2 linked regions of the Caenorhabditis elegans genome follow. The protein of the gene in region 2 purifies or fractionates together with the protein of the main gene of each other region. This does not show direct contact. Each region holds a gene or a part of one and is shown on either strand. Other genes may lie near its edges.

The links.
Region 1: the proteins of gsox-1 (region 2) and K02E10.7 fractionate together in Caenorhabditis elegans (co-fractionation; one large-scale study listed by BioGRID). This does not show direct contact.

What each region holds. Positions count from the first base shown.
Region 1 is NC_003284.9:2,500,363-2,507,438, forward strand, and holds K02E10.7 (Protein kinase domain-containing protein), read right to left. Parts: upstream 4,796-7,076; coding exon 4,571-4,795; intron 4,004-4,570; coding exon 3,884-4,003; intron 3,839-3,883; coding exon 3,778-3,838; intron 3,585-3,777; coding exon 3,469-3,584; intron 3,416-3,468; coding exon 3,248-3,415; intron 2,929-3,247; coding exon 2,692-2,928; intron 2,636-2,691; coding exon 2,402-2,635; intron 2,350-2,401; coding exon 2,284-2,349; intron 2,233-2,283; coding exon 2,065-2,232; intron 2,020-2,064; coding exon 1,897-2,019; intron 1,850-1,896; coding exon 1,735-1,849; intron 1,196-1,734; coding exon 999-1,195; 3' UTR 625-998; downstream 1-624. Other genes in the region: rabr-1 (RAB family), read left to right, coding at 21-118, 190-288.
Region 2 is NC_003280.10:10,172,252-10,180,708, forward strand, and holds gsox-1 (C2H2-type domain-containing protein), read left to right. Parts: upstream 1-2,396; 5' UTR 2,397-2,422; coding exon 2,423-2,450; intron 2,451-2,678; coding exon 2,679-2,892; intron 2,893-2,944; coding exon 2,945-4,776; intron 4,777-5,055; coding exon 5,056-6,023; intron 6,024-6,218; coding exon 6,219-7,145; intron 7,146-7,193; coding exon 7,194-7,253; intron 7,254-7,303; coding exon 7,304-7,411; 3' UTR 7,412-7,789; downstream 7,790-8,457. Other genes in the region: gpd-4 (Glyceraldehyde-3-phosphate dehydrogenase 4), read left to right, coding at 1-36, 85-154; WW domain-binding protein wbp-11, read left to right, coding at 674-1,046, 1,095-1,209, 1,257-1,420, 1,467-1,508, 1,644-2,029; srd-1 (Serpentine receptor class delta-1), read right to left, coding at 7,948-8,031, 8,155-8,230.

The sequences.
Region 1 (7,076 bases), on a different chromosome or scaffold from region 2:
CACTGATTGTCGTTTTCCAGGGATAAACTGCGAAGAAGCATTTCACACTTTGACAGCTGCAATGAGAGAACGAATAACGGCTGGCAGTATGCATTCGGATGAGTCGGATGACAACGAGGTTAGTAAGACAGACAATATCCGGATGCAATTTATATGCTAATTATCTTTCAATAAATATGCCATTTTTAGGAGTTTTCATCGGCCTTCCACGTTGACGGAGTCATCAAAAGCGATAAAGGGAAGTTCACATCATGCTGTGCAAGTGCTCCGGAACCCGCCTTTGTCTGATTTAAACCTTGACTTAAACATATCATTCATTTAGTCATTCATCACAATCTCGATAAAACACTTCGATCATTTGATAATCTTTTTTTTTAAACGTGCTTTAATTATTTTTAAGTGTGCTTGTCAAAACCATTTCAAGGTGCTCTGCCGTTATGTGGTGCAATTAAAAAACCCCCTTAACATTTGTATGCTTCTTACTTGTTAGCACAATATTTTTTCCCTCATCATCTTTTTTTACATTGGTCATTTGCACTTTCATGACGTCATTGGAACGTCACTATGTTTTATCTTGAATTCTCCAATTTCGGGTATTAAGTTTAAATTTACTATTATGATTGATAAATTGTAATTTTCAAATATTTATTTTTATACAATTCACAGAGAGAAAAAAGAGAGATGGAATATATGGATATGAGGTTGCAGCATACGATACGAAAAAATATTACTTTTGGAATGTGTTGTACAACGCAGTAATAGCTACAATTAATCATGAGAAATTGGAAAAATGTGCATATATTGAGATGGGTAGAAATTTTTTTTAATTGAATAATAGAAATCGATTTTCTTTTGAACATTGAATTGAATTAATTACTCGAAAAGGTTGCACGCTTTCAACTTATTAACAGAGCAAAAAATGTCATTTACATACAAAGCGATACATAGAAACAAAATTAGAACTTATGAAAACAAAAATCTCGTCTAAACTTTTATTTTCAATTGTCCGAACCCAACCCAGAAGAACCAGATCCAGAAGTTGACTGTCGTCGAAAACGTTTCACAATTCTCCGGTATCCAGAGGTTAGAACTCTTATTGAACCTCTACGGAAGCGAGTCATTGCGGATGCACGTCCACCGTCATTTCTGTAGACAAGAGAGAAGAAACGGAGATTGAATTGATCCTCTGCGCCATCTGAAACGACATAGCAACATTAAATAAGAAAATTATTGAAACCCATTCTTATGATGCTAAAATGATCAAATACCATAACAAATTTTTTCTAAAAAATTTTGAACATTTTTCAAGAGGTAGTGAAACTCACTATGTTGGCCACTTTTCAATAAATCTAAAGCAATGTAACTGGTTTGAACCTATAATATATAATTAGAACATACAACCAATTTTCCAAAATATTTTGAAACGTTTCGTTGTATAGCTAAACAATGCTCTCGACATTTTTGGTTTAAAATTAGAAATCTTTGCTGCAGACGAATTGTGTTTGAAAACAATTAGAAACTTGAAATTACGGTAGTCGACAAAAAAATATTTTTCGGAATGTTGTTAAAGGTGGAGTAACTGATAAATGGTCATTTTAGCAATTTTAGCCATTTTTAGCAATTTGATTTTTAATAATTTTCCCCACTATTAATTCTGAAACTCTGTTTGAGCCATTAAACTTCAAACATTTTTTTTAAATCAGAATTTCTATTATTATCTAAATTCCAACTCACAATAAATCACTTCTTCACTCTCCACAGCTTCTGCAATCAGCTTATAAAGACACTTATCCTCGTCGTGATTCAAAGCATCAGTTCCAGCTCTTCGACATCGCATGCAAATTTTTATCTGAAAATCATACAGATTTTAAAACTACCCAAACAAAACACTCTCACCGCCAGATTTTCCCAGACACGTTCGGCTTCCTTTTTGCAATAGTAGAGCTGAACTTGCTGTTTGTTCGTGAACTTTGGCATGTTTCGAGCAACTTCAATCTCGGTGTTTTCTCTGCGGAAGTTCTGAAGAAAAAAAACCATAAGATGACAAAAATAATTATATCCTACCATAAGTGCGTAATCTCCAAAATCCGAATCAACTACAGTATCTTGATGTGATCGGAAGCGCTTGATCGTCTGACCCAAACGGCTTTTTATTATGCGATTGAAAATTGACGAAGAGGCAATTTCATCTTTTGCTGGAATGACGATTCTCAAGCACATGCTTCCGTCTCTCTGAAAATATCAGTTTCGTTCTCATCGTAATTCGTAAATAAAAAAACATACCAGTTTGCATTTCTCAATGCGAGTGATGTCATTGTCCCACTCCTTACGGACGTTTTCCATTGCAAACTGGAAAATATTTCTGTTTTTTTGAACACCATTTAAAAATTTGTGCACAAACCACTGCAAACTTTTTGTGATATTTTTTTGGCACAGGTTCAGTCAAGACTTGTTGCTCTCCAGAGACAGCTGGCTCTTCTGGATGATCTGATGCTACACTTTTGTAGCCCTCATCTAAGGTTTCGATGGAGATTTCTGAGCCGTCTCTCTGAACTGTGCTCTTTTCCAGGGACTCTGCCGGAATGAATCTATCAACTACTGGCAACTCTCTAATGAGATCTTCATGACATGAAATCTGGAATACTATTATAGTAGCTAATGCTGTTTTGAAATGGTTTTTTTTAATCTTACAAAATAGTTCCAAACTAGGTCAGAAGTCATCCAATCATCTTCAATTAAAGATTTAAGTGACATGCGTTCAGATGGGTTTACATGAATCAGCTGTTCCACTAGCGATTGAATTTTGTCACTGGCAAGAACGGGGGAACCTAGGATACCAGCTTGAATACTTTCCATCATAGTGTTGCGGCTTTCCAAAATGAACGGACAAGATCCAGTAGCCATAACAAAAATGCACACACCCAAACTCTGAATAAATGGGGATTTTGTTTAAGTACATTTATTACACTCCAAACATTTTTTAGATTTCTTAAGAATTTCCAGTCAAAGTTTTGGCAAGGTGCTGATTTTGAACTTTTAAGAAAATCCAGAATGTCTTTACACGAGCAATTTAAACTAATATAAAGTTGAATATTGTAGAACTTTTTTTTTGGTTGACTTCCAAAAATATAACTGGCAAAATCTAAGTAATTGTCACTTTTTGACAGTTGTTAAAAAACTTCCCAAGTTTTTTTAAAAGTGTAACTTTGATATTTGGTCCTTTTAGCACTATAAGAGTAGTTTTTACCCATAAATCGCATTCAGAAGTCACTTCTGATAACTGATTGTGCAATTCTGGAGCAATAAATGGAAGAATGTGCAGTGGTGTTTGGCTGAATGGGAGCCAGTTCAAAAATTGGGAGCTTTCAATATCCGAAATTTTGACCATATTTTCTTGCAAGAAAATATTCTTTGTCTGCAAAATCGTTGACCTATTGCGTATATCACTAATTTTTCCGAGTTTCTTACATGAAGCGTCCCATGGCAAAGATTTTGTGCATGCAAATATTCGAGAGCTCTTGTGGCTTGTACCAATACAAGCTTAGTCTGGGACTCGTCGTACTTGCCTTTGTCCAAAATGTCGTCTGAAAAGATTAACATTTAGAGAATGAAAAGATACAATAGTAGAAAGTAATCCTACTATTCGTTCGATCAATTTTTTCGAAGTACACACGTTTTTCTGCAACTAATCAATGTTACTCACTAACTCTATTTTTGAAAAGTACATTATAGTGGTGGAGTAGCGAAAATGTTGAAACTTTTTGATACATGCCTTACCGTGTAAAGTCCAAGAATGGAACTCCATTACTTTATACACTATATCTTGAAAATGAGAAACCTGAAAAAAAAAACAATAAGTACAAAAATTTCAAATATCAGTCACCGAGAAAGTCTGTACAATAGCCGGATGCTCGATAGAAATTATTTTCTGAAGAGTGGAGCCTTCATCGTGTGCAGTTAGCACGGCATCATGAAATGTTTCGTGATACTCTTTGATTGCAACCTTGAATTCAATTTTGAAATAACGACACTAAAACAGCTGAAAGCGGTCAAACGTTGTAACACCTGCTCAATTTTTTGACCTTGGATTGCACTTTTAATAGCGTGTGCAAAAAATGTTAAAAATAATTATAAACCAAAGCTCTATAGGTATTTTGAACTAAAAGGAACTGAAGAATACATATAATTGTATAGAAACACTAGTGAAAAATGTGTATTTTTTAGCTGTCCATCAGGGGTTTAGCAGCAGAATATGCAATATTTTAAGAAATTTTGATGATAAATTCCGTAATTTCCTTACATTGTTTTATTATAAAAGTTAAAAAAGGTATGTACTGATCACCCATTTGCCGGAAATTTTCATTTTTAGCAAATTGCCGAATTGTCGTTTGCCGGCTATTAATTTGCCGGAAATTTTTAGAGGAATTTGTTTTAATTTTTTTAATGTGCAAAACCACAATTTTCGGCAAATTCGGCAAATCGGCAATTTGGAAAATTGCTGATTTGCCGGAAATTTGCATTTCTACATTTTGCCGATTTGCCGTTTGCCGAAAATTTTTTTTGTACATACCTGTAACATTGAATCCGTAATAGTTCCTAAGAAGACTGTACCAAAACGACCTGATGCGATTTTGTCACTGATTCCCGTCCCATTCACGACGTTGGACAGGCACGTTAGTTCCACTGGTCTTTCAATAACACTTTCAGATGCATGGTCAATGGACATACAGCATTTTTGGAGTTCCATGGGTATGTCTAATTCTTGGTTTGAGAGGAACATACATTCCATCTTCATCTGAAAGTTTTAGTAAATATTACTTTAAGCTAGTTTACGCAAATATTGTTACGGAAATCAGAAATTATTTTCTCTCGTGCTCCAGTTTTAAACGAACTTGATTTTGAGTTTAAATAGCGAAATAGAGTGGTTTTGAACGATGAAAATAATGACTATTCAACGAATCTATCCTATTAGCACCAATTTGTCGTATTTCTAATATGTAAAACGATGGATTACAAATGCAAGCTTTTCAGCTTCAGTAGAAAAGATTACGAAAAGCTGTTGCAAAGTTGAACTTAGGGCATAGAAGTATCAAAACACAAATGTAAGTTTTTCAGTTTCAGTTCATGATTAATACTCTAATTTCGACAAAATGAGACGTTTTTGAATTCTGTGCTCAACATCGCTTCAAGAAACAGATTAGAAGCAGATTAGAAATTGTATCGTCTTACTGTAGCTGACGCAGAACTAGTAAAGTTACTTAAGACCTTGGATATAATATTGAGATAAAATGTGCACTTTTCGCTTCGCAAAATTCTAAAGTGCGGGGACATTGTTCAGGAAATATTTGAGAACACAACGAATATCTATAGTGACGGCGCGCTTCTTCACCATTTTCCACTTTAAAATCTCCGCCTACATTTTGTGTGAAGCACGGTGAAAAAGCACACATCAACATTCAATGCTCCAACCCGCGAAAAAACACAAGGAAGTTGAACGGAAATAAAAAAGAAAATGTAAAAAATGCAATCCAATATAAATTTTAAAAATTGGTCATAACTAGGGTTTACCTCATTTAACTTGAAACAAAAAAAAATAAAAAATAAAAAATTTTTTTGCAAAGTTTAATTTTATATCTGGTCATTTCAGCTCTTTAGGAATTCAGCCATACTTTTACTTTGCGCAGTTTTCACAAATTACTAGAAAAGTTAGTTTGACGACATAAACTTTTGAGTGTGCTACCCAGCAATTATTCCAGCTACAAGAAGAGAAATATTGATCGTATTCAAAATTTCTACTTACTGTGCTAAAGTAAAAATAGGAAAATAGGAATATTTTTTTAATACTTTTAAATATTCATTTAAAATGGTGGGGATATAATACACAAGTACCAAACAAATTTCAGCAAACCGCACTATTTTAAAGAATAAAGCAATGAAAACAAGAGAAAATAAAATTGAACTCAAAAGCATATGTGCGAATGACGATGGGATCAAGTCAGAAAGTGCATACTCGGCGGGGTTGATGAAGAAAGAAGGCTGTTTTATTGAAATGAGTAAAACATAGTTCTTTCACTTTTTTGTGTGTCTTGGCTAACGACGGCTGCTGGCCAAATAAGAGGGATGATGCGGATGCACTTTTAAGAGAGCACTAACATTTTTCTCTTCTTTCAAGAATGTAGCTTATCTTGCACTGATGTTTGGAATAGATTCTGACTCATGTGTCCTATAATTATTTTGATTCTGCTTTTTCAAGGTACATTTGAATACAAATTATATAGTTAGAGCAGAAACATTTTCAAGCACAAAATTTTAAAACGTGAGCGCAAGTGAGTAATCAAGTAATCTAACATTCGGGTCAATGACTGCTTCGATAAAAATGAAGATGATGAGAGACATTGAAAGTGCAACGGAAATTGTGACGGGTCAAGGGGGGAGTAGAAAAAAAGAAAGAATGACAGATGGGAGCATGTCTTTATGCGTTTCCAACTCACAAGAGGATTTTCGAACTCTCACTAAAAATTCAATGCCACAAGCACATTTCACATCGTTCTGAGAAGCAGGAGTAGCGGGAAGCATGATTACAAAATTGAAGTGTGATCCACGAATTTCCTAGAAAACAGCTTAATATACGTGCAAAAAAAGGTGCAAGTTGTGGCGAAGATCTTTCACCTCAGTTCTTCTCATTGTTCGTAAGGGCGTTCGTGGCTCTTGGAGGTACCCTAAAGCTAAGGCGATACAGATTTCATATTTAAAATAAAATATTGTCCAATCCGCAGGTAAGATAGGACTATGAATGGTCAAAAATGGGTACATATCGCAATTTTTGAAGCTCTCTATCTCGGTGGAAATAGAACATTCTGGAAAATGTTAAAATGCTAGCCTATCCAACTTATTATATTAATTATTATGTAACAAAACAAAAATACAGTATTTGCTTGTTTTCAAAATGTAAATTTTTGAAGTGTGATGGTTTTGACTACATTTTCCTATGCCCTATTTGTGAACTATTTCAAGCGGGGGTTTAATGAAAACGTTCAGATTTTGAAAACGGATTCGGAAATTAAAATTCTGCGAAT
Region 2 (8,457 bases):
TTCGCTCAACCCGAACTTCGTCAAGCTCGTCTCTTGGTAACCACTGAATTTTTAAAAAATGTATTTTAAATTTATTTTTTACAGGTACGACAATGAATATGGATACTCGAACCGTGTTGTCGACCTCATCGGATACATCGCCACCCGTGGATAATTCTATCAGGATCTTTTATGTATAATCCATGTATTTCATAGCTATTTTTTTTATTACAGTCATCATTGAATAAACCTATTTTTCTGGTGAAATCTAGTACTTTTGTCGTGATTTTAGAAAAAGATTGAAATGACTTCTAAAGTGAATGTCTATTGGAATTCGAGACCTAACCTTTAAATTTAAAGTTGCTTCGCATTTTGATGGTGCGAACGTGGACTATTGATAGTGTTTTGTGGTGCGTTGCGGGCTAAACCGCGACGCCTCTGACGATCTTGCACCCAAATAAATTAAACGTATTTTTCTGATTAAAATTAACATTTCGTCTAGAAAAGCTAATTTTGCACTCATTTGAAAATAATAGCATCTTTCTTTTTTTTAATGAATCCATTTCACATCCATTATCTGATACAAATTTTATTCTAGATGTTTTTCCTAAAGCTCCTCATTTTTCGAATATCTGTATTTAATTCGTTTTTTATTTCCAGAACAGCTGTCCTAAATCATGTTTTTTTTTCAGAAATGCCGTCCATCAGTAAAACGAAAAGCGGGGAGCGCTATCGAGCGCCTACCGATCAAGCTCGTAAAATGGATCGAAAAAAGGAAAACAAGAGAAACAAAAAAGACAGGCAGCAAATAAGACAAGCTATGGCGAAATACTGTAATCTGGATGAGACAACGAGCAAACTTTTGGCATTAGAACGGCAGATCCTTGGATTAGATCCTCAACCGTTCCATATCGATGTTCTCAGAAAGAAGCAGAAAGTGCTGACAGATTCGATTAATAAAAGACGGATGACATTGCAACAGGGAAAAGAAGACGCTGAATTAAAGAAGTTTAATGACAAAATCAATGCATATCAGTCAGATTGTCAAAAACTAGCTGTTCTTGCTCGTAAGTATCATTTTTCTTTTTTTTTATAAATCACAACGTTCATTTTAGAACAAGCTCGTCTTGCCCGCGAAGCTGACCCGGACATGATCCCCTTACCAATGGGAGATGTTTCTACTGCCGGACCTGAAAGAAATAATCAACTACTTGCTCCTGCTATGATAAAGTATGTTAAATAAGTTTTGAGAATTTAAATTTTTAATTATTTTTTAGACGTAAAGTGGAATTTCAACTTCCTCCTAGACCTGTTCGTGTAGCTGGACAAAAGCCTCCTGGGCCGCCTTGTGGATTGGCTCCAAATTTCAGTGACAGCGAAGAAGAAGAAGAGGAAGTGCACGATGATCACTATGACGACATCGATCTTGCGCCCGTACCTAGTAAGGAGTTAATTTCTTAACGAAAGTAATTTTTGAAAAATTTCAGTTCCCGAATTCGACAACCCGTACCAGCCAATTCATAGAAATTGTAAGTTTTTATAGGCCAATTCCAACATTTAAAATTCTTACTCCCTTTTGTCTGGAAATTTTCAAGAAATTCCCACATTAAAAAAAATGTAATAAAAATTATGTTTTGCAAATAAAATTATGTTTTGATTTCCAGACGGACCTCCATCCTCATATAACTCAATGCCAACCAGAATGCCGCACCATCATCACCACCATCACCCACATGCGAGTTCTCATTACAATCCAATGGGTTTCCAAAACCATCACGAAGAAGCTGTTATTTCGTCGGCTCCACAAATTAATCGCAGTAATGAACCTGCTGCTCCAGCAACACTTTCTGCTGCTCCTGAACTACGAAACTTACGACGAGAAACTGTCAAATTAGTGCCGGCACAATTGCTCCGTCGTCCAGGAGACAACAAGACTATCGTCCCACGACAAGCGGCTCCAGTACAAAGGCGACCGGAGGTTCAGAAGCAAGCAAAAAATACCGATGAAGCTTATAATGATTTTATGAAAGAATTGGATGGTCTCATTTGAATTTGGATACTGTTACGAGTTTTCTTTTTTAATTATTGGCGTTTAAAATAAAAAATTATTTCTAGTTCCACGATATTATTTTCAGATTAACTTTTCAATTGCTTGTTGTTTAAACATCAAATCGCTTTGATATTATTTCTAATAAAAAACGGGTATCCCCGCAAATACGTTCGCAATGTTCGCAGAGAAAGTCAGAGACGCAGAAATGCAAACAGTGCGAGAGTGTGCGTCGGCCATGAGAGAAACGAGAGAGGCATCCGAGTCTCCCACTTTCTCTGCCGGTCTCACCACGATCGATCGCGGTCTCGCAACGCTCTTCACTTTACAGTTTCCATTCAGCTTTTCCTTTTAAAACTGTTTCTTCCAGGTTTCGCCTGAATCTCCTAACTAATAATGACAGGCAGAGGCCATTCCTTGAAAGGTTAGTAAGCAAATAACAGAAAAGTATCACAGAAATACAATTTCTCGCAGAAAAGGTATTGCGAAATCAGAATAACTTTGAATTGAAGATTTTCAAAACATTTTCTTTAAAAACGGAAGATTTACAGTGATTTTTGAACAATAGCAGAAAAACTGTAAATTTAATTATTTGGAAAAAGCATGGCAACTTTATTTGTTCTTCCAAAATTAAAAAAAGCCAACTCTACAGGTGTAGCACATTCAAATCCCGATAGTTCTTCCGACAGTCGACGGGGCAGAGGGCGAGGTACCCGTAGATCGCAACTTCCGACGACAAGCCATGCCGATGAGCAATCCGAAGAGCACGAATTCAGAGAAGACGAGGATCCAGAATTTTTGAATGAAGATCACGAAGATGATACTTTGGTTGAAGGAGATGATAGATCAGATATGGATAAGATTAAGTGAGACTTAATTTTTAAATCGAATGCTTATTTAATCAATCTTATTTTTCAGGCAAATTCAACAACAAAAAATGATGATTGTCACACCGATGGCTCAGAAACGTACACGTGGCAGACCACCTAGACAGAGGACTTCAAGCCAAGCTCAGATGCCTGACGATCTCATGGATGAAGAGCTGATGAGTCAAGATTTGTTGGAATCTGGCCCACTGGAAGGTCCGGGATCGTCTGATCGTAAGCCTGCGCCTCCTGTGCTGGTTGGACGAGGCTCGCGGGCTCGTAATGCTCCGAAAAAGCTGAACGATTTTGTGCAGCATCACCAGTTAGCGAATAAAAAGATGCAAATTCAAGAAATTTCGATTCCACTCCCACTTGCTCCAAATGCGGGAATTGAAGATAATATAGAGCCACTTATACCAAATGATGCTCACATTGAGGAAGTTCGCCACGAAGTTGTTGAAAAAGATGTTGTGAAATCAGTGATAGAACGTGATCGAGATGAAGATCAAGAACAAGAACATGCGTCGGTGGCCGATCCAGCTGGTCCTCCTCCGGCACCAGCACACCTTGCGAACAAAGCCAATAGTAGAGGCCGTCCAGCAAATCCTATTCCACCACATCGACGTCCTGTGCCGAAAGATCTTGTTCCTCCTGGCTTCCCGAGTTTGAAGCGAGCAAGTTCTCAGAGAGATCCTACACCAATTAAGAGGAAGGACACAAGGGAAGTCGCTGAAAAAGTGCAAGAATCGCATAGGGATCCCGAGCCAAACGATGCTCCACCTTCGCCACTTTCAATGTCAGAAGTTCCAATTGCTGCACATCAAGTTGAGATTGAAGATGAAGTAGTGCAATCTGGATCTCCGATTGATATAGTGACGGAAGTGGAATCCAATGATGGTCCTCCACCAATGCCACCGATGCTCCTGCAGCAGCAATCATCTCAAGCTTCTTCGTCTACTGTACCATCAGCTTCTCAAGGAGTTACCGTACCATCCACTGCATTAGATGCCACAAAGAAAAAAGAGCGTGAAGCTGGAAAAGATCTCCCATCAGAACATTTTCCAAAGGAGAAAGCTCGTCATGTTTCCACAAGAGGACTACATCCATACGTATCCGATAAATCTCATATTTATGACGTACGAGATCAAGTTCTTATACATCCTGAAGATATGGAACAACAAGAACAAGATGCAATTGCTCAGCAAAGAGTTTTGACTCTTCAGGGAGGAAATTTCATTGAAGATCGTATTGGTAGATCTGATTTAATGGAAGATGAAGAAATGAAAATGATGAAATCAATACAACCACAGCAATATATTGTGGAGGAAAATGGAATGAATGTCGTTTATGAAGTTGATCCGAATAGTGTTATTGAAGAAGAAGAACAAGTAGAAATTCAAGCAGCAGAGCAACAAGCTGAGCAATATGTGATGGATGAGCACAGTAAGCAAGGGGAGATGGAAGATGAAGAAGATGACGATCTTCCACCACAACTTGTCCCAGAAGGAGTACCAGAAGATGCAGTTGGAGATGATGAACGTGACGAACAATCACAAGAGAAAGGTCTGGCTGTTGATGAGGATGGTAATTTCGACTTTAATATGATGGACGAAGGTGAAATGATTCGATTGCAATCTCCTGGCGGAAGAGCACACGAAGTGCGTTTTGCTCGAGATGTTCATGGAAATTCAGTGTTTATTGATGAGAATGGGCATATTGTGGAACTGGTAACCGATACAGGAGCACTTGTGGAGCCGCATAATATGGTGGAGCAGGAACAGCAAGTGATGCAGGAAGAGGTGGAACAAGAAGATGTTAAGAATAAACAACAGATTCGACAACATCAGCAGCAGCAACAGCAAGAAGTACCAGGCGGCCAAGAAGGTGAGCTTACACTGAATAACTGGATAAAGGTGGACTACGGCCAGTTGGGAAATCATTGAAACCCATTCAAATATAATGCTAAAATTAACTAATTTTAAATACGCTAAAAATTTGATTTTTTTCGATTTAGCAGACCTTTTTTGATTTCAAATCAAAAAAATTCCAATTTTTTAAGAAAAGTTTTACGATATTTACTTATTTAGCATCATATGTATGAACGTAGTCCACCTTCAAATGTGTTTTTAGTTTCAAAATGCTAGCTAAAGAAAAATTTTGCAGGAGCCGGCCCTGTGGATCGTGGAAATTTGGAATTCAGCTTTCTGGACACGAATAATATTTGCTGTGGCCTTTGTGGAGAAATAGTTGTCTATGATAAACTTCTCACGGAGCATCTTCCAACTGCTCACCCTGAATATCTTTCACCTGGAGTAGAACTTGAAGAAGTCCCGTACGACAGTTGGCTTAAAACACGCCTGAAACAAGAGTCAAAGATGATGGAGAACGGATTTCGTCACTATGATGATCACGATGGTGGTGGATTTGGTGGAGCTGTCAGACTCTACTCAAAAGGAATTCGACAAATGAGAAAAGTCAGTCAAATTCGTGTAAATGTCAATGAGATGACATTGCCGCAACTGGAAGTTGCTCTGAAAAGAAAGCTCGTCGAGAAAATGGGAAGAAAAGTTCCAGTTTCCCTGGTAGATCGACTTCACGCAAGATGTGATATCTGTCAAGCTGTGGTGTCATTAAATAAAAAATTCGAAGTAATACACCTCGTTCGTCACTTCAACGCGTGGCATCCTGCAGAACATCGATGCTCTCAGGATTGGCGGGATCCGGGATCAGCGACTACTAGCACTTCAAGACGTCCACTTTCACTGAGCGATTTTTCTGTTGTTAGCACTGAATCCGCCGATCAAAATAATCTGCAATGCATTTGGTGTGGAATGATGATGGATCGATCAGCGCTTGGAATGCATTTCTCAGAAGTTCATGCTCAACAGATTGCGGTGCCTAATTGCTCGCTGTGCCTTCAGGAGATGGTAATGACTGCTCGATTAATGGAGAAATACGGGGAAGACTTTGGAATTAGTCTTCCAGATGAATTTCACCTTCAATGTTCCAAACTAAATGCGAAATACAGCTCGGAGAAAGCTATGGATAAGGCTATAGACAGACATTTGAAAAGAGCGAAGCCTGGAGTTGATCAACATGATCCAGATGATTCGCATGAAGATGCAGAAGCGGTAAGAACATTGGAAGTAGTTTGTAGCCGATTTCACTAAATTCTTAAAGATAAAAATTATTTAAAAAAAGGGAAATTCTCGATTTTAAAAGGCGCACTTTTCTGCGTCTCCATAATATTAGTTTTAATTATTTTAACAGAATTTCATTTTTTTAGTCATTTTGAATCTCAAAAAGCAAAATATAGTTTCTTTCAGATCTGCACCACAAACAGTCAACAATCATTTGGTCGCCGCAATCGTCTGAAGCGAAAGTTTGTAAAACCATGCTTCCGACAAATCTGTCCCAATAATTCATCGTATTTCGAACCAAAATCTGCTTGTGAATGGAAGTGCCGTCTCTGCAATCGTAACGTTTACGGTGCTGTAATCTCTGCTGGAGCTATCAAGCACTATAAAGAATTCCATCCAGCCGAAACGGAGCATATGCAATATGAACTTGTCAAAGCACGTTTAGAGCGAATCGGTGATGGATCCATGGAGTTTGTTCATCCACAATTGGTTGAATGTCTGATTTGTAATCTAACATATGCTCTTCATAAGCCTTTCAATATTTGTCGTGCTATTCGCCATCTTCGTCTCAAACATCCTGAAGTGATGCCTGAAACTGCTGGAAAGCCAATCAGTGGCGCTGAAATTTCTGAAACTACTGACCTTCAAACTACAATCAGACGACCTAATATTCGATTTGGTGACACTATTACGGATCCAATTGAGCTGGAAAGATTCCGAAAAGATAATTTCGATCAGCAATTTGACAAGGTCCAAATTGTCTTTGGAATCAAGAAAAACAACGAGCCAGCTTACATTTTGCTTATGGAAAATGAGAAGATGGATTTAAAAATGGCACAAGAAATGGCTGGCAAAGTGCAAACAGAGGAAGATACTTCACAAGAAAGTCGATTCGATAGATTAGTTGGAAGAGATGAAACTCCACAATTCGAGGAATCTGAACCATCTACAATGTTCCGCGAAGAAACCAAACCGATGGCTCTTGAATTCCCACAACAGATTGTAGAAGAAGAAGTTGAAGAAATGGAAGAAGTTCCAGTGGAGACTGAGTTCATTCCAACATATGACGCCAATAATCCGGATCATGTGCTCATTGATGAAAATGAAATTATGGTATGCTTTGACTCCTGATTTTCTGATATTTCATTGAATTACTTTCAGAACGACGGCAACTACGAGATGATCCAGGAGGGCGAGTATCAAGAGATTGAGGAAGATAGAGTATGTCTTAATTTTTGGTTTAATTTCAAAAAACATATATTCAATTTCAGACTGTCCGTTACCTCACTGAAGATGAAATACGTGAAGCTCAGGCACGTGGAGAAATACTCGAATTCGAGGAAGGCGAGTATGTCGAGGAATATGCCGTGCAGCAATGATAGTCAATAACGACTTCTCAATTTTTGTCATAGATTTTTATTTGCTTTTTCTAATCATCATTTCTTATCCCCTGGGTTATGATATTTTAATATCTAGTTTTTTCATTCTTTTACTTTGTTCCAAATTTGAAATTCCTTTTATGTTGACCTACATTCTCCCATCTTTTTTATTACCGGTCCAGAAAGTGTTAATGACACACAGCTGTCTACACTATCTGGAACGGTAATATCGTGCCAAAGCGATCGTTCCGTGAACACTGCAATTCCGTACAGTCGGGACCCCTTTTGCAACTGTACACAGATCGATCGCTTTGTCGTTAAAATAACCTAGTTACCAATTCAATACCCCATCCAATATATGAATTTAATTCATGTTCTGCATTATTTGATCAAATCTTGAAACATTTATTCACATTATGTACAGAGGAAATATGACGAAAAACATCTAATCTACATGTGGGAAAATGATGATTATTAATGTATTCAATAGGATTCTTTTTTATATAAATATTAGTGATTCATTCAGAAAAAGGCGTTCACACTTTTTCGGTTTTAGCAGCGTCGTTGTTGGCTGATTGCTGTGCCGGATTGGTTGGTTGCTTGGGTGGTTGGTTGAATTTCTGAATAAAAAGCAAAGAGGTAAAAGGATAGAAAACCAAGTATTTTGTGCAAGAGAAAATTAACCCAAAGTGTGCATCGATGAAACTCGAAAATAAATAAAACAACCGAAAAAAAAGATTTACCTCGACAACACTGGAAACCCGATTCTCCTGTTTTCGGTAGATTCCTGTCTTTGAAATGATTCGGAGAAGTCCCTCTCTGAAAATTATCTCATTTTACTTATCAATAGTTGCCAAAATTTTTCATTTATTGAGCCAATAATAATGTACTTGGTCTCGACACGAAGTTAAGTGCGAATGGTGTGCGCCTTTGAAGATTACTGTAGTTCCAAACTCTCGTTGCTGTGGAATTTTCAGTGACTTTTCATAGTTTTTTGATAATTTTTTTGAAGCTACAGCACTCTTTAAAGGCGCACACCTTTTTGC